Lytechinus pictus: one gene and its partners. The protein of the gene in region 2 interacts with the protein of the main gene of each other region in a pairwise test. Links are inferred from orthologs where the notes say so. Each region holds a gene or a part of one and is shown on either strand. Other genes may lie near its edges.

Evidence for each region.
Region 1: the proteins of translationally-controlled tumor protein homolog (region 2) and Golgi phosphoprotein 3-like interact in binary tests that used the Drosophila melanogaster proteins (3 or more experiments, as listed by UniProt). The link is inferred for Lytechinus pictus from reciprocal best matches to the Drosophila melanogaster genes Tctp and sau.
Region 3: the proteins of translationally-controlled tumor protein homolog (region 2) and GTP-binding protein Rheb-like interact in binary tests that used the Drosophila melanogaster proteins (3 or more experiments, as listed by UniProt). The link is inferred for Lytechinus pictus from reciprocal best matches to the Drosophila melanogaster genes Tctp and Rheb.

Annotation. Positions count from the first base shown.
Region 1 is NC_087249.1:5,501,250-5,512,563, reverse strand, and holds the start of Golgi phosphoprotein 3-like, read right to left. Parts: upstream 4,737-11,314; 5' UTR 4,583-4,736; coding exon 4,385-4,582; intron 1-4,384. UniProt on the Drosophila melanogaster protein: Phosphatidylinositol-4-phosphate-binding protein that links Golgi membranes to the cytoskeleton and may participate in the tensile force required for vesicle budding from the Golgi.
Region 2 is NC_087260.1:9,563,045-9,573,599, forward strand, and holds the start of translationally-controlled tumor protein homolog, read right to left. Parts: upstream 4,605-10,555; 5' UTR 4,492-4,604; coding exon 4,464-4,491; intron 2,439-4,463; coding exon 2,362-2,438; intron 1,218-2,361; coding exon 1,033-1,217; intron 1-1,032. UniProt on the Drosophila melanogaster protein: Involved in calcium binding and microtubule stabilization.
Region 3 is NC_087247.1:20,766,358-20,777,750, forward strand, and holds the start of GTP-binding protein Rheb-like, read right to left. Parts: upstream 4,124-11,393; 5' UTR 3,808-4,123; coding exon 3,744-3,807; intron 1-3,743. UniProt on the Drosophila melanogaster protein: Binds GTP and exhibits intrinsic GTPase activity. Activates the protein kinase activity of TORC1, and thereby plays a role in the regulation of apoptosis. Stimulates the phosphorylation of S6K through activation of TORC1 signaling.

The DNA of each region.
Region 1 (11,314 bases), on a different chromosome or scaffold from region 2:
GTGGGCAAGCAAAATTCTCACAGTAGAATTACCAAAATTAGGGTCGATAGCATAACAAGGTAGATCAGGTCAAAAGAGAGAAAAAGGTAAATGGTTTATAAAACCGCAATACTTTCTTTTGAAGAGGTAAAACTTTTTTTTCAATGATTTTTTGGGGCAAGTGAAATCAATTTTTGGGCAAGTATATTTGAACTATTAAAAAAATTACTTGCCCGACTGGGCAAGTGCTTCTAAAACGTCATTTTTATTTAGCACCCTGTTAAATCATTTTACTTTTTCAAAATGAACGGTTTTGTGGCGTTTTACCGTCAGTTTTTATAGTTTCTTTGTATTACAATTATCATTAAATGCATTATCCCCCTTGTTTTGTGATGTAATTTCAACCTCTGTGATAGATTACGTAAGATTATAATTTTCAAATTTCGAGGCACTTTTGCATGTCATAGTCTACTCTACCCACGTGATGCCACTACGTCATTTAAAAAGAAGTTATGACAGGTTCGGAGGTGTCATAAATATTTAGTGAGGTTGTTGTACCCGATCTTGGCAAAGAGGGCTTTGTGAAACGGTTAGCGGACAAGTAGTAGCTCACTATCTCCGATTTAGTCAAGAAGTTAGACTTATAACGGTGTTGAGAAACGGGCCCCAGTTTTGTTGATTGATCCCATGCACTTTGAATAGCCATAATCCCCCTGCTCCTTACCCGGTGCTCGGCCGTCCATACCAGGCCAGCAGCGCCTCCGTTTTACCTTCCCTGATGTCTGCCCCGCAAAGAAAAGTTGCAGTAAACCTACATGTAAATGTCACAAAAGCTCATGATTGGATCAAAACAATGCTGAATTACGCCGCTTTAGAGCTAAAATTATGATCCAGAAATACAATTTTGTTGCTGAAATGTTAATTAAAACCATTCACAGATGGGGAAGAAGGAAGTGACTTTGTGATTATGGAATGTGCAGCGCGTATTCAAGAACCCGCGAATATGTTTTGAAGCCGCCAAGCGCAAAAAATTAATCCCGCGAAAATAACACTAACAGCGTTTACAGTGTTGATTTTCTAAGTAAACGGAATTGTCACTTTTTCAAGTACACAAAGTCTATGGGGAAACAGAATTTCCATTTTCAGATATGCTTAAATTGTAAAAAGGAATGTAATTTTAAGGTTTTCTGAAACATGTCCCTATTTTTGGCACATTCTCGAGCTTGCTCAGTCTCATTATTAATTGAAAATTTAATGGAATATAAAAGAAATTCATGTGTACTATGTCTTAGGGCCTAGATTTTTAGATCTAAATACATTTTTTTCTGGTGCTCAGAAACTGAGAAAGACAGTCGACGTCGACAGGCCACATCAGAAAGGGGCCCCCTTCTTTTTCCCCACTGCTGCAACTCTGAGCTGTGCAAGCGCAAGTTGGCAAATCATTAATGGCATTTGCAACTTATGCAAGTGCACGTCGCAGAGAACCTGAAGTCCTGAACTTCATCAAAATATGGCCAAAATATTTTTCTTTTTTTTTACAATATCAAGTTGGGATTCGGCGCTAATGCAGTTTCGCACCGGCCGATTACCAGCATACCTGATCACCAATAGGCAATACTTGTTCCCAAATGTCATGACAAGTCTCTCACTCTGTCACATTTCGAGGTCAATATACCCACCTCTTTTCCAAATATCGCGATCGGGAACGGCTGTATTTCAGCTTTGATCTCGATGTCGTTGTTCGAATCCTCAGACATCACTTCGCGGATTGCTTGGATTCGCCGTGCACAGTAATGATGATGTGGACTGAAGTTAGCAACCAAATCATACGAACATGTGGCGAACAAACTGCCAGCATGCTGCAGGCGAATCTTTTGGTTGCTAACTTCCCGATCGCGATATTTGGAAAAGAGGTGGGTATGGTATATTATTTACCTCAAAATGTGACTGAGAGTAGGGTGTCTGGAGAAAAAATTATTTTTCTTATTTCAAGAAAATATCACATTTTCTTTGTGAATTTGAAGAGAAATTACCTTCAGACTGACAGAAATGTAACATTTTTGAAAAAAATCCAATTATTGGCTGCAAAAAAGAAGAATGAAATTAGGTAAATTTTCAGCATTTCTCTGCCATAGACTGTGTAGTTAAGATATGGACACACACAATTCCAAATTTTTAGCTTCCGAGAGCTGTTATAAATTTATCATTAATGCCAAAAACTTGTCCATAAAGAGTCCAATAGGATTTTTTATGCTCTTTCTGATGGTATGATTTTTATAAAGATTTGGAAACCAGATCACAATGAAAAATTGCGACAAAGTGAAAAAAATTGTGCAAAACAGACATTTAGTTTTCCCATAGAAAACGCATGGGGAAATGGCAATCTCAACACACACACAAATAAGGGTTTGCAATTTATCTCTAATTCTAAATCCTTATTTAAAATGATCATATAAACTTGTCCTTACTGTCAAAAGAACCCCCTGAATTTTCTCTTTCCATACATGCCAAACACAAGTTAATAATTAATTCAGATCACATTTTTGCTACTCTAACGTCCATGCGCAGTGAGTCGCCATGTGCAATTTTTTTACTGTTGCGCCACTCACCTGTCACTGCCTGACTACCATGGTTCTAGAAATCTTTTGCAATGTTGAAAAGTGTCTTGTGGCATTGAAATGCTGCAACGTTTGGTTAAAAGATCCAGCAAAACACAAAGGAGTTTAGCGCAGTCAAAGTCAGACTTGCAAATTTGGATCCGTACGGTGAGAATTTAAGCTGCCATTTTTCTCGGGCGACGATTTGAGACGCCCACACTAAGTAATCGATGTTTCCAAAACTGCCCGCTCAAGTTACCAATATTTGGTATCAAAATAAAGAGTATAAAAAAATGTTCACAATCATTTCATTTTGAAGGTGGGGGTGACAATTGTTATCAAAATAAGAGGGGGTGGCGACTCAACGTATATCTCAACCCACGGAGAGGTTTCAACAACGCAGCTGAGTCAATGCACTTTTGTGTACGATCGGTGCGTGTGTGTGCGCATGCGCGATATGCCTGTGTAGTAAATGTATTGGATTTTTCGAATCGGCGACTCAAAATATACCCATCATTGTGTCGCCTTTCCGGAAGTGTGTAATTCATGATGTTCTTACTAAAAACTGTAGCAATTTCAGGAGAAAAGTTTATCATATATTTGAAAGGATTTGTGGATACTTTCATCTCATAATACAAAGATTTGAGTCGATTGCGACTCACTGCGCATGGACGTTAGCAGCCTGAACTTCCCGAAAAAATGTGCCATATTTTCCCCTAAATCAGCCTGTTTTATGCTGACACTTTTCAGTGGGTGATTTCAAGTACGGTGTTGAAATCTGGTGTTGGTGTTGTGACAACACCAACACCAGCCACAACACCGTACTTGAAATCAGGCTGGTGTTGGGATTGACCTCGGAAAATATGACGTATTTCCGGCAGTTCGTGTTGAATGCTGGTGTTGAATATCGTCTGCTGAACCCAGCACTGCGGCTGATGTTGACGATCTACGTGCAATTTCCCCATTCACCAACACCAACCCCCAGGGATTGGGAAAATCATGATTTCAAGTTCGGTGTTGGTGTTGGTGTTGGCAATCTCAAGCTCGTGAACAGGCGGCGAACGCGATGAGACATCCCCGTAAAATTAGCTTTTACAGTTAAGATGAGCACAAATCATTTTTGAGCTGTATATATTTTGATGAAGAATAATGTTCACTCTTTCGAATTCTTGAATTAATTAAAACATTGGTATTCTGTACGATGAGAATTTAATGCATTTCTCACCGATTTCATTTTCGTCGTCGAGACTTCTCGCGTGAAGTTGAGATGATTTAGCAGCGCAGCGCAGAGGCGTGACGTCATGTGCTATCGATAACGCAATCGGTATCATTCCTCTGAACCCAGCTCGGTGTTGGAGCTCGGTTCAGCGGCCTTTTTACGCTCTCAACACCAACACAGAACACCAAACTTGAAATCACCCAGTGTGGCTTCAGACACCCTATAGTATACGGTACCCAGTTGTTGTGTGTCCGGACAGGTTGTGTGTCCGGACGATCCATTTTAGAAAGTCATTTGGAAATATTTACAAGCGAAGTTTCATCAATTTTTAGTACAAAATGTAAGGAAATATTATAGAGAACAAAATGGAAGATGATTACAACTATTGAATTCATATTTTTAGTGTAATCCAAAGACAAAACAGAAGGCTTAGTTCAAAAATAAAGTGTCCGGACACCCGACCCCCCATCCTACTGAGACTGAGAGTGAGAGACTTGTCATGACATTTGGGAACAAGTATTGGTGATGAGGTATGTTGGTAATCGGCCGGTGCGAAACTGCATTAGCGCCTGGGTTTTCCATACTTTACCTCTCTGTCTTTCAGACCCAATAATAAAACTTCTTCCATCAATGTTAATCTCGTTTCTTTTGATTCGCAGTCATCTTCTTCTTCACGAAACGGATCTTCGTCCGCTTCATTACTTGATTTTCCCCCTTCTGCTCCTTTAGATCCTCCACCTGTGTGTCTTTGAATTAAAGTACTACCTCTTTGAGTCAAGGTACTCATGATAGAATGTCAATTATTACAGCAGGTTCTGCCTATCTTTGAAGAAAAGTTATAGATTCCGCTTGTTATGATGTGTGAAATGGGTCGGCTTTTCCAAAATGGCTTCGTCTGCGAGAAGTGACGTCAAATTGCTGATCGAAATTCAACGCAAGGTGGCGTTCCATCTTCAATTGTCTATGCGCGTATAAACGTGTCTGGTATTAACTATTATTATGGGGGCTAAAATATGCGATAAAGATTACCCCCCCCCCATCTATCTTCACTTAATTGCACTGTTTTGTTTTTTGTTTATTTCAACTCAACAAACAAATACTGATCAAAAAGATTAAAGATGAAGAAGACAGATCTAAAAACTCTTGAAACAAGATAGCTGACACCCCAAGATTTTCATTCTAAAATTATTATAGGCCTATAATAATTATGTTCACATTTTAGAAAATTTGACTCGCCCCTATAACGAAGGAATGTGGTGAATAAAATAATCAATATTTTTCGGCGTGCTTCAACCGCAAAATTCTTCATTATGATTTGGCGATAACTTGATATTTCCACCCCCTCCCATCCGAGATGTGGACCGACACTTCTGAACTCTTAATGGTTTAATTACATGACTAACTTTAGCCTCAGACCGAGTCATCAACAATATAAACATTATATCCTAAAAAGAATGGCAATATTCAGAGCGCTTTTGACAATAATAGGCAAATTCAGAGTTAAAAGGACAAGTCCACCCCCAAAAAACACTTTCATTTGAAGAAAAAGAGGAAATTCAACCATTATAACTATTACACCAAAAATTTCATCAAAATCGGATGTCATTCAAAAATAGTTATATGCACATCTCGGTCGGTATGCAAATGAGGTAACTGATGATATCACTCACTCACTCACTATCTTTTGTTATATATTATAAACGAAATATTCTAATTTTCTCCTCATTTTCCTGTGAAATAACGTTTTATTTCTCTCTAAACATATTGTTTACCATTTTTATGGTTCAGTCAAGCGGCAGTTGATCCAATTGCCAAATCTGTAAAATTTGAAATATTGCAACATTCAAACAATAAAAGAAAGAAAAGAAATAGTGAGTGAGGGACATCATCGATTCTCTCATTTGCATGTGACTAAATAGTGCATATTGACCATTTGTGAAAAATAAGCGAAACTTTGAAATATTATAACTTATTTTACATCCTATTTAAAGTCATTTTCAGCATTATGCTTGTCTGACTTTTCTCTGTTGGTCCAAATCAACATTTTTGTGAGGTGGATTTGACCTTATTTTACGCGTTATTATTGTTATATTCGTGGTGGTTGGAAGGGGGGGGGGGCAAAAAACCCCACAGGTTAAGCAAATTTATCCACAGTGTGCTGCACTCGACCCAGGTGAGATGAATGGGTACCCGGCAGGATCAATTCCATGCATGCACTGAGCGCCAGTGATGGTAGCTCGAGCTAAAGCCGGGTTAATAATAGCAAGGGCTGTATCCTCAGAAAAAAAGCGCTATATAGATCTAAATGTTATTATTATTGTTGTTTATTTATTTTTATTATTATTTGAGTAATTTGTTCAACTGCAGGGCGCCTCAGGAAAGCAGTTTTGCATCACTGAACAGGCCTACCCTGCAGTATAAAATAAAGAAAACCAATAAATAAATAATAATTATTGTTACTATTAAGAGAGCATTAATGTATTCTGCATTTCGATGCGCTTTTTCGAGGGAAGGTGTAGCGACCTAGCGAGAAAATTTCGAATTTTCGAGCACTTGGTGAGTGACATGGATGAAAAGCTGCATTATTCTATTATCATAATACAAATAAATTATAGGGCCAACACTATATTTGGAGTCGAAAATTGTTTGGGGGCTTGAGTGATTTTTTTTTTTTTTTTGGGGGGGGGGGGCTTCAGTCCCCACAAAGCCCCTTCCTAGAACCGCGACTGGCCCCGGTTCCACTATAGAACGGGGGTATTGATCAACTTCACTGGTATTCCTTTTTGTGTGCCTTTATTTCTTTGCCTTTTAAATTAATTTCTTCCTTTTCTTTAATTATTTGCAACCCCTTTCCCCTGAAAGTGGCGCCCAGGGCACGTGGCCCCCTGCCCCCTCCCCCGCTACTATGCCACTGCTAATACCCTTATCAAATCGAATTCAATTGGCTTAATGCTGTTATAAAAAATATTGTTTTCGAAATAAATTATATGAACGCCCCCAAATTGGGAAATGTCCCGGGGGGCCACTTACATTGACGAGTGGATACCATGCGCGACCAAAAAAAAAAAACATAAAAAGGATGTCTTTTTCAAGATAGGGCATGTTACGTACGTAACGTAATAAGGGTGTCAAAAACACTAAAATAGTGAAAAAAGGGTATCTATTTTCGTTAGGAAAGCTACGTATTTAGGCCTTTAGGGTCAAATTTGCGAGGGGGTAAAAAATTAAGACTAAAATGTTTTATAAGGGATGTACTTTTTTTGCCCCAAGAGTCAACACTACGTGTTAAGAGTACGATTTGCGCGAGATGTACTGTGGGAGGTGGGCTGTACTAAACCCATGCAATGATGTAGGTAAAGGTAACCGACGACAGACGGCCGTGACATAACAATAAAAATATCGCTTTAAAAATCAGGGAATATTTGGCAAGAGTATCCTTTTGTTTCAAATACTTGTTAAGGGTAGGGTTTCACACGCCAATACTTGTTAAGGGGTGCATTTTTAGAATATGGAAAATACATGTTTAGGGTGCTTTTCGAGACCCCATGGTGGCGCAAATCCGGGGGGAGGGGGATGGGGGGATATATCCCCCAACTCTTTGGAGAGGGGGGGGGATGGCGTGTACAAATATCCCCCCACTTTTTAAGAAAGAAAATATATTTTAATTAATCTGTTAGTAAAATCTTTGAATATCTGTCATAAACAACCATCATATTTTAAAATTTATATTTGAAAATGCGATTGAAAACCAAAAAAGTGGTTATTTTTGGCTTGCTCGCTTTACTCGCTCATATTTTAGAATTTATTTTAGAAAATGCGATTAAAAACTAGAAAAATTGTTATTTTTTGGCTCACTCGCTTCGCTCGCTCTCGCAAAATAAATATTAAAATGTGTGTAAGGGGGTATGTGGGGGGTCAGTGAGAGTGTGCATGTGCTTATACCTAAGCGTGAGATCGACGGAAAAAAAATCGTCAAAAAGTCAATCATCCCCCCCACTCCTCAGAGTGGATTTACGCCGGTGGACTATCCACTCGTCAATGGAAGTGGCCCCCCGGGGAAAATGTTTAGGGAATTGGAAATGATTCCTCTTACCGCACGAAGCGTGGATGTCAAAACGTTTTATTAAAAAAAAATGAGAACAGAAAAGGGCATTCATTGAGTGGTATTTGATAACAAAAATTTACATTGAAAAGACAGCAAAACGGGATAGATCGATGGTATAATATGCAGAGAGAAGATATTCCTTCCCGCGAATACCGTTGAAGATCAGAAATGTCAAAATTTCTCTTAAACCTTAACCTGCTCTATATTAGTAATTCAAAAAAGCTCAAAATAGGAAAGAGATGATGCACGGAGAGGAATCTTCCCTTTCAAATACCCGCGAAGCACGGAAACCTCTGTGGTTTGTTTTGAAACATACATGGCCTATAAAATTATGTGTATTCGCTCATTGTTCAGCGCTTCCTTTGTATGATAAAGAAATTTGAGTGAAATCAGTTTCATTAATGGCGCAAAAGAAGACATGAGATGGATGTGCCGCGATATGAATAAATTTTCATCGTATATACCTTGGTATATCATGGCCCTGGGAAGTGGGGGTGCTGGAGCACCCCCAAAAATTATTTGGGCGGGGGTCAGTGGCGTACCTAGGATTTTCCACAGGGGGGGCAAAACCGTCCGCCAAAAAATTTGACAAGCAAAAAAAAAAAAAAAAAAAAAGGTCTTCGATCACAAATAAAGGATTTCGTTCCAGAAAAAATTGACAAGCAAAAAAAAAAAAAAAAAAAAAAAAAAAAAAAAGGTCTTCAAGCTCGTCAGGTGGGGCAAAGATACGTTTTTGCATGGGTTGTGACTCGTCAGGGGGGGCAGAGTGCCCCCCCTGCCCCCCCCCCGTAAGTACGCTAGTGGCGGGGGTGCTGCGTATATAGGCCTACTATTCTCCATATAGGCAGCACCCCCAGGTACTTAGGAAAATATGAAGAAAAAAAGAAAAGAAAAAAGTAACCAAATATCACCTTTGTTTTTTTGTGTGAAATCCCCCCCCCCTTTTTTTTGGCTTTTCAAATTTCTTGGGACCAATAATTAGTGAAAACAAACAAAGCCATACAAAATAATCCTCGCACACGCCGGCCAGCGCAGCACTTATCTAGTCTGCTGGGCAAACCCTTCACTCGGGTTAAGGGTCTGAATGTGCAGCCTACTCATGCCTTGTGTACTGAAGGCTCTCTCGTGCCAACCGCGTAGCCAGGATTTCATTTTGGAGGGGGCGGTAAATGCACGCGAAGCGTGCCAACACTTACAGAGCGCGCGAAGCGCGCTCCCTAGGGGGTGGGTGCAGGGAGGGGGAGTTTCCCCCTCCCGCGCGAAGCGCGAAGCTTTTGGTGTTTCATAAATTAAAATGAAAATAGGAGCCGTCTCTCTTGTCTCTAGTACCTATATCAGCTCCAATTCAGTCGACTATATTGTGATTTTGAACCTTGTTTTCGAAAGTGATTGTGAACGCACAAAAAAGGAATACAATGGAGGAAATTAAAGTAATAATAACCCCGCGCGAAGTGCGGAAGCTAGAGCGTTTTATCATTTTTTTCAAAGAAAAGGGTTCCGAGAAAAGGGTATTCTCTAAGATATATTGAATACTTCCCTTGGAAAGATCAGATTTGATTACAAACAATTATAGCGACAGTGCATATCTTTAATTCGCAAAACAGAGGAGAAGTGTATATGCCGGAGGAAGATATTCCTCCCCGCGCAGAGCAATGAAACTCTGAAATTTTAAAGGGCGGACGTTTCATCAAATGCAGATATCTCTAATACCACATCGGCTCTAATTCAATTGATTATTTAAGATTATTGAACTTCATTACAAGGAAAATAGTGCGCAAAAAGTTGAAACTTCTGTGATTTATTGAAATTATATAAAAAAAAGGATGCCTAATTTCTTTGACTTATCCTGAAGCGCTTCATTTTGAATGATAAAGAAACTTAATTGTCATTCAAAATTTCAATCTGAGGGCGAAAACAGGAGATGAATGTGCAGAGAAATGACATGAAGTTTAATAGAATTTGATGGAAAAATATTGTACTTTTTTATTTAATACGACACGAAATTTATACCTTCCTCTTTTTAAATTAGGAACCTGTTTGCCCCCAAATTATGGTTGTTTAGTAATGAGATGAAAAGCGGGAGAATTTGCCTATATGGAGGTGACGGCAGAAATTGATATAAAGATTTTACCCGCCCGGAGCCGACCCGACCAGAAGTTGCGCGATAAATTAAAAAAAAGACAACTTCATATTTCGGCCTAACCTTACTCTAATTCCATGCCCTAATGTATACATTTGAACTTTAACTGGCAAGAAACACATATAGCTGAGGTGGAAAAACAGGGTTAGAGAAAGGGTGGGGGAAACAATGGAGAACTGCAATATTGTCATTTAACCGCGCGCAGCGCGGAAGCAAAAATATAAATTTAGAGCAAGAGTGAAGGAGTTTCTCTTTTGAGAAAAAAATAAAATAAAAAGAAAAAACCCACAAAGCTACCCTTTTCCCTTTCTTCCCTTCGCTTTTCCTTTTCTCCTCTCTTTTTCTCTTTTTTTTTTTTTTTTGGGGACGTTTTGGGGGGGGGGCGACCGCCCCCACCGCCCCCCCCCCTGGCTACGCGCCTGTCTCGTGCTAGTCTTTGCGTGGAGGCACACTTATTGATCAAAGTTCCAATCAGGGTCTGTGCCTGCAGACTAGCACTTATCAGAGTTAACCCGGCCCTGGAGCCCGCCCTGGAGTACAGTCCAAGCTAGATACACACTGGCGTATAGGATTTTCCAGGATTTTCGTCAGGGGGTGGCAAAAAGGTCTTTCAAGCTCGTCAGGGGGGCAGGGATACATGCATGGGTGGTGGCTTTGCATGGGTGCATGGCTCGTCAGGGGGGGGGGGGGGCAGACTGCCCCTCTGCCCCCCGTATGTACGCTAGTGTATACAAGTTTGATGAAGAGTGCCTGCATGTATAGACGTATTGGGGAAATATTACAATAATGATATATAATCATTATGTTGGTAAATGCTGTTTTTTATTCATATACCGTAATGATTTGTTTTTTATTATCAATATAAAATTTAAAAAGAAGATACATTTCAACACATTAACTGGTATGGATTCCATTTTTCAAGTTTGGATAAAATTGGTAAAACGAATGGTAGATCTAAGTGATGCATCAGTCAGTCACTTGCATTCATTAATTCAGGCTATATATTCAAAGTGGCTAAGAGAGGTGTCCTTGAGAGTAATCATGTTGGTCTTATACTTTCATTTTCAATAACTTAAAAAAATAATGGAATTTATAACTGTTGTATTTAACATCAGTCATCAGTATATGGTATCAAATAAATCGATTTTGATGTTTATGCCACTTATAGGGTATCAAATTCGGGGATTTTCCCTGTTCACGCCACTTAGGGTGCAGGCTTTTCTCATCATGGGTTACGATATCAAGAATTCGATTTCTTGATATCAAGAATTACC
Region 2 (10,555 bases):
AGAACCCTCTCAATCCTACAAAAATTTTATTCATGTGTGACCTACACCCCCCAAAAAAATGTTGATACCGACCCAAATTTTATTGATTTTCCTACTTTTTCGCCAATTTCTTCTTTTTTTTTACCGGCGGATAGCGTGGTAGAAAAGATTCATTGCGATATATAGAGTTCACACAGAAATTTGACAAATAAATACAACTGTCATGGCGACAATGACCCTGCCAAATTTGCCCGTGGGTACCAAATTTGATGACAATAATATGTTGTAGCAGCGTGACTCTGCAGAACCTAAAGTATTGTCCAGTATCACCTGTTGGGGAATACAATTATAGAGTAATCTGGATATATTTTGTAAACCTAACCCTAAGACCCCCACCAAAAATGATAGGCATCTTCGCTTCACCTTCTAATATTGCTTCTCTGTGCCAACTGTTATGACAAACTGGAAAACAAGGCAAAAGCAATTTTGTGTCTCGCCCACTTATGAAAATAACCAGAAATATTGTGATTTGCGAGGGCACGCAACAGAATTGTCATAAGACTTGTTTTTACTATGTTTTTACCCAAAGACCAATGTTTGCATTCCTTTTTATGAACTTTTGTTAAAAGACACGCTTTTCAGAATATTGAAAGTAAAAGATCTATCCTTAATTTATCGATCAAGCAAGCGAGCTAGCCCCGACTATGAATAGCCAATCAATAAAGGCTGAACTAGCGGAGTATCAGGAAAAGTTCAAATCATCTAAAAAAAAACTCACAGAAAAATTGCTTTTTCAAAATTTTTACCGTTATCATCTCATACTGCTTTTTACAGAATATACTTGAAAGGCCAAACATTTTTTACTAATGTAAAATGAGAATTTCCAACAAGTTTGGAGCTTTGCGGCATTTCACCCATTCCCCCAATTCTCGTCAAGCAAGTTTTCTCTGAGGTTGACCCGACGCATCACATTCTTGCGTGTACACACATGGATAGTTCCACAATCTGATAAGTGAATGCCATACAGATTGTCACAAGCCCAATTCTACTTACCTCTTTACATACTTCCTGAACACACCCTGGAATTCCTTTAAAGTATATCCGGGCACCTCCACTAATTGATGGTTGGTGCAAACATCGAAATTAGTTACGCTACTGTCTTCCAATGCTTCAGCCTGTTCCTCTGCAGATGGGTTAGCTCCAATGTCAATGTTAGCTGATGTGGTTTCTGTCACTCTCTGTATACATGTAAATAAAATTTGTACAATATACACTGTATACTTAAGAAATGTGGCAGTAGAGGGAAGGGGGAGGTACACGTAGAGGGAAGAAGGGTGGACTGTGGAGGAGGAATAAAGAGCATGAGTAAGCAACATAGGCGGCGGAAGCGGGGGGGGGGGGGGGTCTCCTGCCCCCCTAAATTTGAGGTGAGGGGACAGACCCCCCTGAAATTTCCGTTGATAACCTTTTTTGTTGTTGCTTGCTTGTCCAATTTTTTTACCCGTGTCCATCCCATAATTTCAGGTGGACCCCCCCTAAATGGTCCAAGTTCATTGACCCTAAATGACCTTTGACCTTGGTCATAAGACCTAAAACTCAAGCAGGATGTTCAGTAACATTTGATTAACCTTAAGTCCAAGTTTCATGAACTAGGTAGTTATGCTGTCATTTCAAAAACTTAATCTTCGGTTAAGATTTGATGTTAAAAAAGCGGCGCGGCACCTTTAGTCTCAATCTGTTTGCAGGCGAGACAAAAATTGACCTTTGACCCCATCATCCTGAGCAACAAACCGGTGGTACATACATGTATACCCAATTATAATTTGAACCAAATGTGATCAAAGTTGATGGAGAAATAAAATGAGAACAAGTTACATGAAACTTCAAAAAAAGGATGGACATGACCTGAAATCACTTGACCTTTTGACCCCGAGATGACATTTGTCCCCATCATCCTCATTGACACACATGTGGTATTCCCAAGGAACATACACAGCATCATTCAACAAGGATTGAGATGCTTTTGTTTCGCGGGCTACTTTTCAAATTTTCAGGTCTCAACCACGTTTCTGGGGCCATCGATTTCCCTGGCTTTTTAAAACCTGTGTTCCTGAATTTCGAGGGCTTATCCGACCTACATGTATGAAGCTAAAACAGCATCAAGAAAATTCTTTAAAAAGGAAAATTTAATCCTTGTGAAATCAAATGTTTGTGCCTGATAGTGATATATCAATGTTGCGTAATTTTGGAATGTACAGCATACTGGGGCATCACAAACTTGGTCTCAGAAGTTGGGTGAGACTTGAAAGAAAAACATCATGTCTGTCGTGTCGCAGATTTATCGCAATGTCCAGGGGGCCCACCCCAAACTTGGTTTTTTACCTTTACTTTGATCCTAATTATATTCTTGTTCGGGCCCACTAGTTCCATTTTGAAATTGTCGGAGAAAAGCTCATCATCTGAAATGGAAAAAAATGAGAAAAATACAACTATACCGTTTAATGGGAAAATAGCATTGAAAACAGATGTACCAAAGCTTGATATAACGAAATCTGAAAATAGCAGTAATAAGTGGAGCAGCTCTGGCTGACTCTTGCCTACATTATGCGATTAAAGCGATGGTCCGGGCTGAAAATATTTATATCTAAATAAATACAGTAAAATTCACAGAGCAAAATGCTGAAGATTTCATCAAAATCAGATAACAAATAACAAAGTTATTGATTTTAAAGTTTATCAATATTTTGTCAAAACAGTTATATGCACATTGTCATGAATATTCATTAGATGGCAGGGTGCTACATAACTTTTTTTGAAGCACTTGCCCAGTCGGGCAAGTGAATTCCTAAAAAAGTTGAAAAATAATTGCCCGAAAATATATTTCACTTGCCCGGAAAACTCTTTCATAACGTTTTACCGCTCCAAAAGATAGAAGCGCAGTTTTATATAGGCCTAGGCCTACCATTGCTTTTTTCCTCTCTTTCAAACATGAACTGGACTGTGTACCTAAGGCTATACCTTGTATTTGCCTGCCATGACTGAAATTAGTGTCAATATGCCATTTTATTAATTTCCTCCATCATATATTTTCATGTACTTTTGTATACATGTATGATGTATGTCCATGGCACAAGATATAAAAGGGAATCACTGAAAAAAACTAAACTAAAGAAAGAAAGAAAGAAAGAGGAAAAAGAAAATGACAAAGAGTGATATAAAGAAAACAAGGCAAAAGCGATTTTGTGTCTCGCCCACTTATGAAAATAACCAGAAATATTGTCTGATTGTGATTTGCGAGGGCACGCAACAGAATTGTATCAAATTCAAAACTTCATTGTGAAATGACTGGGATGGAATAACACTTGTCATAAGACTAAGAGTCTTGCATTAACGTAACCCAGAGAGCTCCCGTCCGCGCAGCGGGCGGGAGCCCAGAAGCTCACAGTGTATTCTACCATTGCCACCGGACAAGGGTGATTTATGGTCTAAATATTTCTCCAAATGAATTGTGAAAACAAAAAGTGTACAATTACCACGATTATATGGATGAAGGTCTAGCGAGTGGCAGATTCCTGACATCTGAGCACAGTCTGGAACCTCAAAAAAACGAAAAGTTCTCTGCTTCTACCCCGTCTCGATCGGCCATTTTTGTTAAAAATCGTAACAAAACGGCCGATCGAGACTGGGTAGAAGGAGAGAACTTTTGGTTTTTTTGAGGTTCCAGACTGTGCTCAGATGTCAGGAATCTGCCACTCGCTAGACCTTCATCCATATAATCGTGGTAATTGTACACTTTTTGTTTTCACAATTCATTTGGAGAAATATTTAGACCATAAATCACCCTTGTTCGGTGGCAATGGTAGAATACACTGTGAGCTTCTGGGCTCCCGCCCGCTGCGCGGGTGGGAGCTCTCTGGGTTAGCATTAACGTTGACCTGAAAATGACCTTTGACATTATCATGTGACCTCCGACTGCAGCATGACATGCAGGTCCCCCAAGTCCATTTACCATTTAGACTTTTTAGTAGGCTAAATGATTTTTACTCTCTAGAAAAATAGTAGAAGTACTAGAACTAGAACTTGTAGAAGCCGCCTGGCTACTCCGAATGGGTGATGTGATTACACATGCAGGCTCGCACTCACGTAACACACTACCGTCGGTGAATGGGGATTACAGTAAACTAAAATGTCAGAAATTGTTGAATAAATCCCCAGAAACGACGGTTATTCCTGTCTACTACTAGTACTACTAACGAGTAACGTAGCTCGTAGACCTGCTATGGCCTAACTAAAGTTACAACTTAGGCCTACATTCTTACAATATGTCTATCACTCAGTGCGGTAGTGCGGTAGGAAAGTGGAGACTGCAGTGTCAGTGCAGCAGTGGGACACAAAAATATCTTCAATTCTCATATTCTTCAAAAGCTTATCAAAACATTTCAATCACTTCGCTACACAATTAATATAAAAGGTAGTATATTCACTTGTAAGTATGTCCCTGTAGATAATCATTTTGGTAGGATTAAATGGATTTTCTGAAGGCCCAGAATGTCTTCGTCAGCTTCGGATGCTGCGGACTTAAAAAAGGACATGTATGAATCATACGTCTGTGAATGCAGTGACGTATTACCATTATGGCAAGCCAGAGGAGGGGGAAATATTTATGACCCCAACAAAAATTTTGGGTTTAGTGTCATATATGTTTATTTAAAGGAATGGTCCAGGCTGGAAACATTAATATCTCAATAAAGAGAGTAACATTCACAGAGTAAATTGCTGAAAATTTGATAAAAATCTGATAACAAATAACAAAGTTATTGAATTTTTAAGATTTGCATTATTCCGGTGAAACATTCCAGGCATGACTTTATGAATATTCATTAGGTGGGCTGATGATGTAATATCCCCTTGTTCCTTTCTATTTTATGGTAATCCGCTCCCTTATCTCCGGGATTTTATCATATGAAATTAGGTTTATTCAAAAATTTTCTACCAAGAACTAAAAAAATTGGATTGACAACTGATTGAGTGCATTAGTTATTTTGCCGCAACTTCATTTATAATGAGAAACATCATTTACACATGTATGAAAAAGTGAAACATTTTTGATTTCATCTAATAACATTAAGAAAAAGGAAAGTGGAGATGTGACATCATCAGCCTACCTAATGAATATTCATCACGATGTATATGAACTGTTTTCACAAAATATTGAGAAACTTTAAAATTCAATAACTTCGTTATTTGCTATCCGATTATTACGAAATTTTCAGCATTTATTTGCTCTGTAAATTTTACTATATTTGTTTAGATGTAAATATCTTCATCCCGGACCATCCCTTTATTATTTCATTCATCTGTCTGATGAGAATATGGAATTTATTCAACTTTGTAATTCATTGATGTGCATTAAATTGTGATTATAAGCAATGGATGTCGTACATCTCCAGAAAAAAAAATCGATATAGATTCATTGAAATACATAAAATCAATAAAAAATGACAACACAGACATACAAAAAAACGAAAAACGGATCGTTCCCAAATATTAGTTAATCCTTTTTCTGGAGTTGACAAGTCTGTTTTGAAAACAGTTAACGCACTCATCTGTATGTCATGATAAGGCACTTGCCTATATAGAGAAATTTCATGAGCCATGAATAAATGCATATGTATTAGACTCTCTCTCATTTCGATGGTGCATAAAAAAACAAAATTGTTTTAACAAGTATATGTTCTTATATATTTAGCAGATGGTACAGGTTGATAATATAATTTCATCAGTGTATAATCTTTCCCTTACGTTTGCTCACTATAGTAGTGAGATCAAAATGGCAGGGTTTATTGCGATTAAAGCAATGGTCAATGCAAGTTATGCCAACTCAAAGATCTGACCTACTCTCTAAATTACAAGGATTTGTAAAAATGTACGGCTATGAATAGTGACCGGTCGACGTTAGGTTTTTAAATCTACCCTTAAAGATTTAAATGTTAATGGATTTGGATTTGAAAATCAATCTGTAATAATTTTAAATCCTGGTGGCCGTAATGGATAGCCCTGTCAATTAGAGTGCACTATCCAGTAGTTGCTCTAAAATACAATATCGCATGTCATTTCTTAAAAATATTAAGTCCCAACCGTCGGAGGGCGAACCCCCCCCCCTCCACACCCTCCCCGATCGGTCGCTTCGATCCCTTGCATAGCCTCAATCAGACACCAATCGTCCCCCAATCATCACAAGAAATCGACACCTATGTTATACTTGTAAGCCGAACTTGGAGGTTGTATCCCCTTGTATTTTTCGGAACGCTTCTGACGAAGTCTTGATACGAAAGCTGAAGCTATAAGGATGGTTTCTTGCGTCATCTTTTTTAGTTGAACCTCATCTTATTGTATGTATACATATACACACATACATATATATATATATATATATATATGTGTGTGTGTGTGTGTGTGTGTGTGTGAGGGTGTGTGTGTATGTATTAAGAACTTTGAATTGGAGGGAAATATTCTTAGGATTACCTGGAAATTCTTGTAGAATTAAATGTGTCAATTCTGTTATTCTTTTTATTAAATATGCAATTTTTTATTCCAGAGCTGAAGGCCGGGTACCGTCATTTATTAAAATACACAAATATATAACGGGTTGTATAGAAGAAGAAAGACGCCTGGCAACGAAGTCAGGCAACTGGCAAGTTAAGTTTACATTTGCAGAAATGGGATGAACTGAAGGTGAAAAGGGATTTGAATGTGAACAGGTGGGATGTGTCTAGTGTGGTGCGAGTGTGAATCCTGGTGTGAATGTTGATGTTTTTTTTTTCTTTTTACTAGTTCTTTTCAATTTCCCCTTCTCTTGTATCAATATGATTTGCAGGGTTTTTTTTCTTTCTGTATCCTATTGCGCCAAAATGTTAAACGTTCATTATGCAGATTTGTATATATTATGTTTGTTTACGTATGCGTGGTATGTGCATGTGTGTATATGGGTGTTAAGGAGGGTGTGTGTATGTGCGTATAATTATGTAAAGTTATGTTGAAGCTTGATTTAAAATGGGATGCAATGATAATACATTTAGGTTGATTTCTGTTTTCCTGCAAATCATTTATATAGCCATTTAACATTAATTATTATTGAAATACATAGAGGGTTGGGGACTCAGTTAAGTTATTTTTTTCAGATATAAAAGTATAATTTTAAGGAGTTTCATTCCGTCCTTATTTGCTTCGCAGTTCTTGGTAAATATATATGTACTTTTTTGCATATCCTTGTTGATATGAAATGAAGATTTGTATTTTTTTTTGTATTTATCTGCAGTTTATGTAATTCATTTGAATGAAATCCTTAATAAAAACATATTGAAAAAAAAATATTGTAAACTATTTGGATATATCAGGAGTACAACTCTTACAAGAAAACAAAGGGAATTTCAGTTTATGCTTTTACATGGAGCATTATATACATTGATGAGATTTGGTTTCGTGGGAGATAATTATTGCTCGTTTTGTTGTACAAAAAACTGAATCGTAACCCATATACTCATGGATTGCATAAAAGTTTAACTTCTGTGGCAATTTTGTATTGATCATTTTTGTTTAGCTGAATTAAGAACTTTGAATTGGAGGGAAATATTCTTAGGATTACCTGGAAATTCTTGTAGAATTGAATGTGTCAATTCTGTTATTCTTTTTATTAAATGTGCAATTTTTAATTCCAGAGCTGAAGGCCGGGTACCTTCATTCATTAAAATACACAGATATATTACGGGTTGTATAGAAGAAGAAAGACGCCTGGCAACGAAGTCAGGCAACTGGCAAGTTAAGTTTACATTTGCAGAAATGGGATGAACTGAAGGTGAAAAGGGATTTGAATGTGAACAGGTGGGATGTGTCTAGTGTGGTGCGAGTGTGAATCCTGGTGTGAATGTTGATGTTTTTTTTTTCTTTTTACTAGTTCTTTTCAATTTCCCCTTCTCTTGTATCAATATGATTTGCAGGTTTTTTTTTCTTTCTGTATCCTATTGCGCCAAAATGTTAAACGTTCATTATGCAGATTTGTATATATTATGTTTGTTTACGTATGCGTGGTATGTGCATGTGTGTATGGGTGTTAAGGTGGGTGTGTGTATGTGCGTATAATTATGTAAAGTTATGTTGAAGCTTGATTTAAAATGGGATGCAATGATAATACATGTAGGTTGATTTCTGTTTTCCTGCAAATCATTTAGTCATTTAATATTAATTATTATAAAAATACATAGTGGGTTGGGGGCTCAGTTAAGTAAGCTTCTTTTTTTTTGTATAGATGTAAAAGTATCATTTTAAGGAATTTCATTCCGTCCTTATTTGCTTCAGTTTTTGGTATATGTTTTTTTTTTGCATATCCTTGTTGATATAAACTGAAGATTTGTATTTTGTTTGTATTTATCTGGAGTTTATGTAATTCATTTGAATGAAATCCTTAATAAAAACATGTTTAAAAAAAATATATATGACAGGGGCGGATCCAGCCTTCGCCAATAGGGGGGGGGGGGGCAGAAATCTTTATCATCCATAATTTCCCTGATCGGCCGCTCGATATTGATTTTTTTTGAAGGGGTAGTCGTAATAGTCACTTCTTATAGCTTTATTCTCATAATTCAACATAAATATACATGTATAATAACCTCATAATCCTTATATTATTCCAACAGTGCGAGCGATAAGCGCGAGCTAAATATTTTTGAAATTCAATGTATTTTGTCTTCAAATCCGGACATTCTAGGCAATGTTTGTGAACCCCGAACATGATGTGTATAATGAAATTTTTAATACATGTTTTTACTGATCGAAAAGGTACCTGTTAAGGACTGCTTGTAGTTAGCCATGAACTTATGTTACATATTTCAACAATCAAATAATGAGGGCGCGAAGCCTTAGCTGAACTTTTTTTGACATTTCTACCTAACTTGGAAATTCCAAAACACTTTTGTGTAATCGTGAACAGGGTAGGTATATAACTAAACAACTGATGCGAGCTAGTGCAAAGCGCGAACGGAAAAAAAAAATCGAGATTTAGGCCTAAAAACGGGACACATTCATGTTTTGTAAATCATGAAAAGGAAGAGTGATTCGAGATCTTTTTACATTAAATATGGTAACGCAAAGCGCTAGCAGAATTTTTTTGATATTCTGGTCTGAAACTAGATAATGATTTTGAATAGAGAACAAGCTGCGTATCTGAATAAACATGAACGCGCGTGTTTCCCATTTAGACCTAGAATCTGGGCATTATACATTTCGTTATCATGAAAATCTATGAAGCGAGCGCGAAGCGCGAGTTTAAATATTTGATATTCTGACCTGAAAAGGGGTCGTTTCAAGTTGTATGCTTTAAGCACTTTGTAGGAAAAATGTGAGGTGGATATGGATCGCACTTTATAAGGAGCTGATATATTTAAGTATTTGAGTTTTTTACATATAGGACCGGGACATTTTGTCATCATACTATACATGTATAAAAATGATGACTATCTTCCTATATTTCTTCCTAAGCGCGAGATGAAACTTGTCGATATTCCATTCTGAAAAGGACAATCTTATTTATCAATCTAATAAAAATAGGCCTATAATGAGAGCGCGAAATCTATCAATATTGTGGCCTGAAAACTGGAAATTTCAAGCACTTATTCAATTATGAATAGGATTTGATGAAATTTTCTGTGCTATAGTTACGCTTCTGATATTTTTCTCTTTTTATTCAAATCGACTTTTTGTTGATCGGAAATATGGCTATCAATATAGCGCTCTCATACAAACAATATTAACCGAATTCCATGGCACACCCATAGCACACCCAACATGCCCAATCCAAATTCAATATTTCTGATCCCCGGCATCCCCTTATGAAATTATGGATTGTCTCTACTTGATAATAAAAGAAGTTCTGGTTATGATGATATCAACAACGTTATACTTAAAGGAGAATGAAACCCTTGAAACCAGCTGAATCCATATCAAAGAGAAAAATCAAAGAAACATATTGTTGAAAGTTTGAGGAAGATTGAATGAATAATAAGAAATATATGAGCATTTGAATATTGAGATCACTAATGCCATGTAGATCCTCCCATTGGCAATGCGACCAAGATCTGTGATGTCACACACGTACAACTCCCTCATTACTTTAGTACTTGTTTCACTTATATTCTCACTTTTATAGAGTATTTCACAAGGTGAGGTGTTCTCTTTATGAGAGGACAAGTACAGAGGTTTCACAACATTATATCATTGATGAATCGTTTGTCATATGATTAGAATGAGCAAAAAGAGATGTTTTGGGGTATATTTTCAGTGTCCAAAAGGGGAGAGTTGTTCATCTGTGACATCATAGATCTTGGTCGCATTGCCAATGGGAGGATCTCCATAGCATTAGTGATCTCGACATTCAAATGCTCATACTATTGCTAGTCCTATGTTACTCAAACTTTTGTTGATCTTATTCTTTGATTTTTCTGCTTTCACAAAAGCTAACTTGCTCCAAGAGTTTCATTCTCCTTTAAAACTATAATTCCATATATTGTTGATCCTCTTGCTC
Region 3 (11,393 bases), on a different chromosome or scaffold from region 2:
GAAGAGGAAGATCAAAGAGAAAGAGAAAAAGGGGGAAATGGCGAGGGATGAGAAAGAGGTGAGGAGAGAAAGGCGAGACGAGAGGGAGATAATTAAGAGGGCTCGATATAAGGGAGATGGGATATAAGAGGAAATAAAAGAGAGATATAAGGGGGATAGAGAGAAAGGGAAGGTAAGAGAGAGATGAGAAAGAAGAGGAAAATCAGAAAGAAATGACAGAGAAAGGAAAATAATAAAGAGGGAGATCGAGATGATAAAGGGGAGAAATAAGAGAGAGAGGGGCATGAAAGTAGAAATGGAAGAAATAGAAGGGGATGGAGAAAAGGGAGGATAAGAGAGATGGACAGATAAGAGGAAGATCAGAGAAAATGAGAGGAATAGTTGAATGAGAAGGGAGGTTTAAAAAAAGCTAGAGAAAAGGGACATGATTTCTAATCGTTAAAATAATTTTTTGAAATGCAACCAGCTAGTAGGCCTTCATTGTTCAAATTGTAGGCCTACTCAGAAAGCAAATTTGTTGTGGGTCCTTTCTTTGTCAGTGTGCGCGTGAAAAAGGTCGAGCTTTTTATGATTTCATGTCTGTACATGAATACAAAAATGTGACTAAATCAACATTTTCAGTTATGAAAGTATTCAATAATATATAGTTCATGATGTAACAAAGCAAACTTAAACTTTAAACAGCACAAGGAACACTTTCTTTGCGTTCCTTTCTCTTATCTGCATACATGCAGCGTTTGTCGACCAGCCAGTATTGACCTAGCAAAATGGCGGTGCGCTCAGTCGAGCGTGAAGCCAATGCTCTTAGTTGCCGCACGGCTTTGTGTATGTTGGGAATAGGGACACGTATTTTCAGTTCAGTGGTGATGTCACATGTGAACAACTTTCCCTTTGATGGACTGTAAAAAAAATGTCTCTTTTTGCTTTTTCTTATGGTGACACAAACTCTTTATCCATGATTCTTTAAAAATCTGTATTATATGCCCTCCCATAGAAAGAACACAAGATCTACTGATAGATGTGATAAAAGAGGCAGTTTACCTATAAGTGAAATATATACTAAAGTAATGGGGAGAGTTGTTCACAAGTGACATCACACATCTTTGTCACATTGCCAATGTGAAGATCTCTATAGCATTACTGATCACAATATTCCAATGCTCATCATTTTTCTGATTTTTATAAATCTTTCGAAGTTTCGTTGATCTGTTTCTTTGATTTTTCTGTTTTCACACAAGCTATCTTGTTCCAAAGCTTTCATTCTCCTTTAAGGATTTATTTATTCATCCTATCCAATATCATGAAACAAATGATTGTCAGATTGTGTTTTCAATTGTCACAGTTATCTATGTTTCTACATGCTCTATTGGGAATGGACATATTTTGTGTACATACATGTAAGCAAGTGTAGAGATGTCTACACTGCATTTTACTGTTTTAACAGATGTAACCATACAGTGTTAATTAAATTTTAATCCAGAGGGGGGGGGGGGGGCTTGGGCTCATTCGCCCCATCTGGCATGTTAAGTTCATAGGCTTCCAGTCAGAAAGAAAAAGGGAAAGTGGGGAATTTTACTTGTATTTAGTTTGGATGGGAATGTGCAGCTGAAGGTTGTTATAATATAATAAATACTTATAATCAAGTTTCAAATTTTATTATTTGTTAAATGAAAATTTTTATCTATAAATTGTTCTTCAAAACGGCATTTTGTAACGTCGCTTATCGAAGCTACGTCATAACGAAGTGGTTCAAGGGTCAAGCCTATTGTATTTGCGGTGTTTACAAATGGATCAAGGAATCTACATGAGATCGGTAAAGTGAGTGATTGTATTACCGACAGGCCTTGTATTACCGAACGTGCGCATCATGAGCATCAGAAAATAATTCCATACGCTCAAAATTTTGCAACATCCTTTCAAAGAGAACTTGAATAGAAAGATGATGAAAAATTGTCAAAAACACAATTTCAAAGTCTTAATATTCGAAAAACAATAAAATATGGTCAAAATAGCGCATCAGTGACTTTGTTGTTTTCTCAACTTTTCCCATAGAAAACACACGTTCGGTAATACGATACCTTTTTCAAGTGACCAAAATATTTCACATGCGAAGAGGGGTCCGATTGGAAGCTAATATCGTAAATAGGAAAAACGATTTCGGCCAAATTTTTACATATTTATATTTTGTAGGTAATTGTGTATTCATGGTGAAAGTTTGGTGAATTTTATGAGAATAATGTGTTTGATATGATTGAATTCATGAAAAGTGTTCGGTAATACGATCCACTACCATATGGTATGAAATCTCTCATTTTTCATATTTATACTAACATTTTTTCATCCAGGTCTTCATACGCATTAGGCTATGAAGGTTGTATAGATAAATAAAATGCAACAAATTTATGTGATCTGTAGGTTTAAAGATGGATTTCCTAGGGAAATCCATCCATGTTTACATATTCTGCTTTTTGGGGAGGGTTTCAAGGCTTCGTGATGAAAAAGTATATGTCAAAATATTAAAAAATATCATCACAGAGTCCTCAAGGCTATGCCCATATTAGACCAAAAGCTTCGGTCTATGTTATGTTGGTTATGTTGGTTATTCAGCTGAACTCTGTTGGCTTCACTCAGCAAATACAGAGACCGAAGTTCTAGCGCGATGTGTACAGGGGACTAATGGCCATATGTTTATGTGTATTAAGTTCGGATAAAACAGGGCAGTGAAGTTGCGCGACAGCCGAGGTAAGTCACTGTTTTTGTTCCTTTTAACTTGATTTTCCCCGTGTTTTTTTGGCAATTAATGCCAAGAGGGAATATTAATTTGCATTTCGGTCGCATTAATTTTCATAAGTTTGATTCATTAAAGACAAAAATTGAAGAGCCCCGACGGGGGGATTTTGCTTTGTAAGTCCCCTAATGGTGGCTGCACGATAGCGAGCCGTCTGTGTACGAGGAGAAATTAGAAAAAATGTTTAAAAAACTCCACGAAAACAGACGGCTGCCAGCTGTCTATGCCCATACTGTATGCCCCATTATCAAGGATTTATTGAAATTTGACAAGCAAAAAAAAAGGTTAAAATTAAATCACCCAAAATTGGAGAATATGGACCCATGTTTAAGGCCAGACTAAAAATTGGGCCATGGACCCAAGTTTAAGGCCAGTATCTAAACATTGGGGCCGTGTTTAGGGATTTTCCAGCATATAAAACCATACCCCATCATGTTTAGGGATTTCTTCCAGACCAAAATTAATAAGCAACCCATTCCTGCGGCACATCCCCATATGCCTTGATTTCGCCTTGAGCCCTCTCTCAATCCCCTATCTCACTTCCCCATGTTTTATACACAGCTGCGTGCCGATGTGCGATGGTTTACTTACTCAACGACAACGCTATAGTGGGCGTCCTTCCCCATGAGCAATTTTTATTGGGCGTTTGGCCGTTTGGGAGCATTTAAAAAAATCGCTGAAATGTCCAATCTTTCCCTTTTAATTAGTTTTATTTTAGTAAAGGTACTCCTGAAACACTGCCCTGCACTTGTACCGCCTACATACACTGCATTAGCCCTGCCACCGGTGCCAAATTATGCAGCCACGGCCAAGCTAACACCACCAAAGTTCACAACACTACGCTGCACAGCACAGCCTGCACGAATGCCACTAGTTCAGATGCACAGCACTCGGAGTCAGATCACACTAACAACACTCAACAGTATTAAACAGCAACTAATTTTCTTTAACTTACCGACTGATCGGAATCCCATAACAGCAATTTGTCGCGCTTTGGTATCAGGAGGCATCTTTGACATGTTATATACAATTATAATATTACATAAAATGAATTATATTACATAAAATAGGTCTGTTGCAGCAGGATTTGTGGGACACAGAACAGGATTTTCTCGTACACAAACGATAAAGTTTTCTTAGACTACTTTTCAGACTTAGCAATTATGTGCTAGTATAATTATAACGATGGCAATTTTTCAGTACTTGTCCGGAGAGATGTCCGGCAGCCCCGCCGGCCCCGGTTCCAGCATTCCCTGCCTTGATTTTACACTCGTCCTTCTACTTTAATGTATTTCTTTCTTACTTACTTTCTTACTTTCTCCCTTTCTTAATTCCAGTTTCTCTTTTTTCGTTGTTGTGTATGTGCATGATATGGGCGCCCCGCGTGCATCGATCGATCGATCATGCCCCCCACCCCTCAGAGGATTTTGCCGCGCGTGATGAAAATGCAAAAAAGGGGATAAGGGAAAAAGAAAGGAAAAGGGAAAGAAAGGAAAGGAAAAGGATAAGAAAGAATATTAAAGAGGTGATATGGAAACGGAAAGGGATTGGCCCTATTAGGGCTACAATAATGTGAGAAGAACCATTCCGAAATTCCGCACTCAGAAGGGACCGGGGGGTCATAAAGGAACGGGAAATAATGGAGATAAATTAAAAGTCAAAGAAAGGAAAATGATGAAATACTATATTAGGTGCTAAACATAATGTCAAAATCTCTAATGATTAGAATTTCATTTTCAAAAGCTTTAGACCAATACGTACAGTTGCTTGCTTCGCTAGCTCTCGGGACTTTTCAGAAATTTTCCCATGCAAATTTGCCATAATTATGTTTGCCCTTCATTTTTACGCCACTGCGTATAATTATATATACGATTAGGCTACTAGCCCCGAAAATGGCTGAATCTCGATCTTTAAAGGGCAAGTCGACCTTAGAAAAATGTTGATTTTGATCAATATAATGCTAAAAAATTCATCTAAATCGGATGTAAAAAAAAAGTTGAGACATTTTTAAGTTTTGCTACATTTATAGTTATGCGCACGATTTAGTCACATGAAAATGACAGAATCGATGATGATCCTCACTCACTATACTTCTTTTGTTTTTTATTGTTTGAATTAGAGGTCTAGACAATGTTTTGATTTTTACAGATTTTACAATACTAAGGACCAATATGAACCATCCCATGAAATGTTAAACAATGGTAATTTCAAATGTTTAGGAAGAAAGTAAAACTTTCACATTTAGGACAATAAATTATAATTTTTCATATTTCATATGAAAAAATGCAAAAAAAAATATGGTGAGCTAGTGAGTGATGTCATCAGTTCCCTCATTTGCATAACGACCAGGATGTGCATATCCTATTTTGTGAAACTAAGCGAAACTTAAGAATGTTATAACTGTCTTATTTTACATCCGATTTGATGAAATTTTCAGTGTTATACTTGTTCGATTTTTTTTCTTCTTTTTTTAAAATCAACTTGTTTTTGATGGATCTCGAGAAGTTCGGGGATCGGCATTTATGAACCCTGGACCACACTCATCATAGCACTCAAGGGTTTCTTTCTTTCCTTCTGACCTTCTTTACTTCCTTCCTTAATTCCTTCCTTCCTTCCTTAATCCTTCCTTCCTTTCTTTCCCTTTTTTCTTTCCATGCATCTGACCTTCTTTCCTTCCTTTCTTTCTTTCATTTCAAAATTTCGCTTAATTCTATATAACAGTTATTCACATCCTGGATAGTATGGGGACTGATGACATCACAAACTCATTACTTTTTTATTATCATTTTTTTGCTTTTGATTTTATTACATGAAATGTGTAATATTTTGATTTTCTCCTCGATCATTGTCATGAGAAACAAAATGGTCAGTCAAGTTTGTACTTAAAGTGTCAAAGTGTATATTTCAAACATTTAAACAAAAACAAAAGCCTATATGAGGGACATCATCTAATCTCTATTGGTGAGGCGTGCATAAAACTGTTTTGTGAAAAATAAGTCAAACTTTGAAATGACATAGTTATTTTACATCTAATTTTGATCAAATTTTCAGTGCTGCTTGTTTGATTTATAATTTTTTCAAAATTTTTGGGTGGATCGACCCGGGCCGCGGACTTAATTGACCTTTAGAAATGCATCATCACATTCTTTCACTGTTTTTCTTTGTCTTCTTCTTTAAAAGAAGTGTATAGGCCTATATAGATACATAGCTCTTTAAAGGGACTATAGTAGCCTAATGTGGGAAATTTTTGGCCAAAAATAGGGAATAAAAAAATACTGAAAATGTAGCTATAGCCTGACCTTGCTATTTGAACGGTCCCAAATTCTTATTCGCAAAATTGATGCGAGTTTGGAATCGTCAGAAATGCACTCCATCCCTTCCCAAATAGCACCCCCCCCCCACAACCAGCGCCCCCCCCCCCCACCCTCCATGTATACAACATCCAGAGCCCCGCCCGAGCCTATATAGCCTAGCCACATGCAGGTCAAAATAGAAAATACAATAATTGTAGTTTAGGTCTTTTAAATAGACTATTACACGTATTGCATGCATGGCGCCTATCGCCGGTATAGACTTTCAGTGAAAACCACCGGCCTTAAAAACTGGGAACAGTCCGGGAACTGTAAAGTCTCCTCATACAAATGTACAATAGGCTTTTGCTGGACTAATCAAGACGTTGAATATATACTACTCATTGAGGTGAGGTGAGTTTCTTGTTATATGTTAAATTGGTATTTAGTCAGGCATTGATACGAAACGGTGGGATTTAGGTCGCCGCCTCCGCCACAGAGCAGAGTCACAGCCACAGAGTTGGGGGCGCGGTCCCCACAGGTCTCTGGCCATACCTGGCCCTTGCGCCGTTGGCGTTGCGGGAGTGAGTACATGAGTGCGGGTACGGTTTACCGGTATAACTTAAACTTTAATAAAGCCATGGGTTCGGGGTTTATTTTCATTTGGTCTAATGTAACTAAGATCAAATGCCAATTCGTCCAATTGCCAACTCGTCTACTATCATTTGGTCTAGGCTATCATCAGTTCGTCCGATATAGAACTTAGTCTTACTCTTAGATTAGAAGTCTACTTCCCATTTTTAGCCATTTATTTACTGCCATTGGCATATGATATTAGGCATTACATGATACTGTATAGGCCGAGTCTAGATCTATTTTAATTTTAGATCCAAATCTAAATCCAGATTTAATCCACATTTGGTCCAAATTAGTAAAGCCTCTAAGTCTAACTTAATAAGGCTTAGACTTAGAGCCGGGGGGGGGGGGGGGGGCACTTACATTGACGAGTGGATACCATCATCACCATGCGCGACCTAAAAACACGTAAAAAGGTAGACAGCTGGCAGCCGTCCGTTTCGCCTTTCGGGGAGTTTTTTAACATTTAAATTTTTTTTAATTTCTCCTCGTACACAGACGGCTCGCTATTGTGCAGCCACCATTAGGGGGTTAACAATGCAAAATCCCCCCGACAGGGCTCATCGATTTTTGTCTTTATTTCATAAAAATATATAAAAGAACTACCAAAATAAAGATTATTCCGTTTTGGCCTGATATTCACCAAAACGGGGAGAAATAATCTTAAAAGGAGAAAAAACAGTGACTTCGGCTGTCGCGCAACTTCACTTCCCTGTTTTATCCAAACTTAATACATAAACATATGGCCATTGAGTCCCGGCCTTTACAGATCGAGCTAGAACTTCGGTCTCTGTATTTGGTGAGTGGCCAATGGAGTTCAGCGGAACAACCAACATAACAGAGACTGAAGCTTTTGGTCTAGTAAAAAGGATGTCTTTTTCAAGATAGGGCATGTTACATAAGTTACGCAACGTAATGTGACAAAAAAATGAAGATCATCAAATATCAATTAATTTGGTATCATTTGAAAGCTCTTAAAGAGACCTTTCAAATGATACAAAGAACTATTATTTTCTGATTATAAAGTTATTCCAGTTAAGGACGTTCCACAGTTAAAGTGAAATCCATGACATTTTCACCAAACTTTGCACATAGATACTTTAAAACCTTAATATTCGAAATATGCAAAAATTAACATAGGTCCATGTGCTTGATTTTTTGCTATAGAGCTTCAAAGTTCACCCAAATTGACGTTCTTAAGAATTGCGCATTCAAAAGAATTTGGCATTTTTAGACCGCCCGAGATTACTACAATGAGTTTAAACCTCTATTTCTCAGTCAAAATACATGAAAAAATCATCAAATTTCGCAAGAGAGTTAATAATTGTATCGTTAGAAAGGAAAATCTATTTATATTGCTATTTGTTTGCAATTTTAAGTTTAGCAGCACTGTCAGTTCTTAAACATGGCGTAAAAGATAACAAAATCCCAATCTGAAAAATGTAAAATTTCAGTAACAAACTACAAACGTACAATAAATGCTGCACTTTATTCAAAATCCATGTCATTTTCACCAAAATTTGCAGAGTTGTAGAGGAAGGTATACCTATGAGGTACAAACATTAAAAAATAGAGGTTCATGTGCTTGTTTTTAAAGTATCAGCATTTTTATTAGAGCAAATGTGATTTTTAAAACACAAAAAATGCGCCGAATGCTTAGTATATATGTGAAGAAAAAATCAAAACCACTCTACCATTTATTCAAATTCGGGGTAATATTCGTGATTCTTGGCAGCACTGCAGAGTAAAGTATTTTGAAATTGTAGAGAATCTTTTTTTGAATGGTCCATGGAATAATTCCGTTTTTAGCTTCATAAAATAACGCATCGGATCTACAGTTAAAGTGCAGAAGATGAGAAAAATCATTTCATACCCGCAGCTTATTAACCACATGTTCATCCATTGTGACGTCAGCGCGCAGAGTGTAAACTATGCGCAGATCATAATGCGCACAAACATAACTGTGGAACGTCCTTAAAGTCACGCATACTCATCCAAATTTGTGGTCATTGTCTTGCAGTATTAAAAGTCAATGGAATACAGAACCGATTTTTGTGACCATTTTGAACCCAAGTCTTCAACAGGCTCTAACTTCTTTGTTTTTTAGCCCTTTGAAGTAATTTAGGTATCAATGGAAAGGTGAAAGAAAGCTCAATTGATGATAAATCATGTCAATTTGTAATTTTTCTTCTTGATATGTGTAAAATAATTTCTTCTAATTAATTCTAATTAATTATGCAAAATAACAATTACTCGCCTCTTTTTTTTTGCCAAATGAAGGTGATCATGATAGATGATTTATATAATTTAGTTGGCATCAAAACAGCATCATGTAGATAATTTCCCTAATGAATTTGTTTAAAGTATTTTTTTTTGTAATTTCTAATGTATTACTTTGTTTTCTGATATAAATTACAAGCTCTTTTTCAACTTTAGTATTGTATACATGTATGTACGGGGGTCTTTTTTATATGTGAAAGTTATCATTCCTTTTGTACTTTGTGTATGTGCTATTTTCTGATGTATTTGATTGTTTCACCAATGCCTTATGTATTCTATTGTTTCAACAATTTGTTACGTAGCTTTTGATTTTAGAGACAATGAACATTTGATTACAATTTTTTTAGGAGGGATGAGCCAAGTGTAAAATATGTATGTACATGTAGCATTGTATGCAATTTATTACAAGTATCAAGAAGGATAAAAATGAAGATTTCAGTTTTCAATGCATTTCTTAGATTTGTTTACATGTACATACATTGTATTACAAATGCCCTGTTTTAGCTCTCTTTTTTAAAGAAAAATAAATAAATTCAGATTCTAGAGTGAAATCACTGCACATAAATGTACACAATTTTTTACACATACTTCCATGCTATTATGAAACAAAACAAAAAATAGCAAGATTTTGTGGGAAAGATCTTAACAATCCAAACTTACCAATCTCCCCATTCATGAATAGACTTGAAAGGCACCAAATTATTAGTTGAAGCCAAAAGAAAAGGAAAAGAGTGGTCTATTTCTTTCAAAACAAAACAAAAGACAACCAGGAAAAAACAGATCAAAGCTCCAAACAAAAACAGACATCAAAGCTCCAAACAAATACTCAAAACAAGAGAAACAAAAGTGACACAAAAACTTGTACCAATCCCATCCCCATTTTCCAGTTTAAAACAACCTGCACCCCTAACGAAAAAAGAAAAGGAAATAAAATGAAGAAAAAAAAAAATCAAAATTAATGAAATAGAAATAAAATCATAAATACAGGACTTAGACCCATCTGGAAATGAAATATTCTTTCCTCTGAATTGTCATGTATATTCTTACAAGAGTGGAAAAAATATATAAAAAATAAGCAACATAGTTCTTGCATTATAATAAAAAAATCAACATTTAAGATATTCCCCTTTCAAAAGCAAATCCAGTCTCCAAATAATGAAACATGATAAAAAAATAAAATAAAAATAAACAACGTAATTTTTGCATTTTTATTAAAAAGTCAACATTTATGATATTCCCGTTTAAAAAGCAAATCCAGTCTCAAAATAATGAAACATTGAAAAGTTTCCAAATTTTCTACACAAAAAAAAAAAACACTAGGTTTTAAGAAGGTGACTAAAAATCCTGCTATTGAAAACTTATACAAAAAAAAGTTTAGATATATCAGAAACCAAGCAGTGTGAAAAATGGTCTGATGATCTAAATGTAGATCTACATGTAAGTTTTTTTATCCAATGGCAAAATAGATTTTTGACTATTGGGTTACTTTGGATTAAAAAATCAGAATGTTCCAGTATAAGTTTATTCACTGTTGTATATCAACTAATTAATGATTGTTTATTTAAGATACATGTAGGTGTGAAGAATTCACCATTTTAACTGAACCACAAACTTTGATACACTTATTCTGTTTATGCCCTATTGTTTCTAAATTTTGGACGGATGTAAATACTTCGTTGAATTTCCACAATATAAATTGTCACAAATTTTCAAATATTGATATATATGTTTTGGTGTTCCAAGTAAGTTTCAACATCTCTCAAACACAATAATTTTATTTGCAAAATACTTCATTTTCAGAACAAAATGTCAAGAAGGACAACTTTTGTTAGCTTTATTCATAAATGAGTTGAAATTTGTTGAAAATGTTGAAAAGTTTATTGCTTTTAAAAAGGGCAAGGAGATGCTACATTATAAAAAATGGAGACCGTTTACTAATTTTGAACTAAGTTGAGACTTACTTTTATTTGTTATGTATTTAATGATGTACTGTACTTTATCTTCATTACGATGAATATTGATATATCTTGTTAAGTATCTTGTGGTACACGATGAATATTGTACCTATATTTGGTTTTATTGAAGCAATAGAGATTCAAAAAAGAAAAAAAAAACACTATATATTTTGCAATTTAATGTAAAAAGTCCCAAAAACCCAGTTTCCAAATGATGAAACATGACTGAACAATTAACCACCTTGACTCTTGAGTCACATAACCTTGGGAGGAAAAAATATTTTTGTGACAAAATGAAATATCAGAATAATAATCTACGGTATAATGACAGACATTTTCAGAAAAAGGCACAATATTATCAAGTAACAAAGAATTCAGATCCAGTTCAATCCAGCATGAACGCTCCCGTCACCCAGCCCTCCACGTCGGGTAGCTCGACTGCCG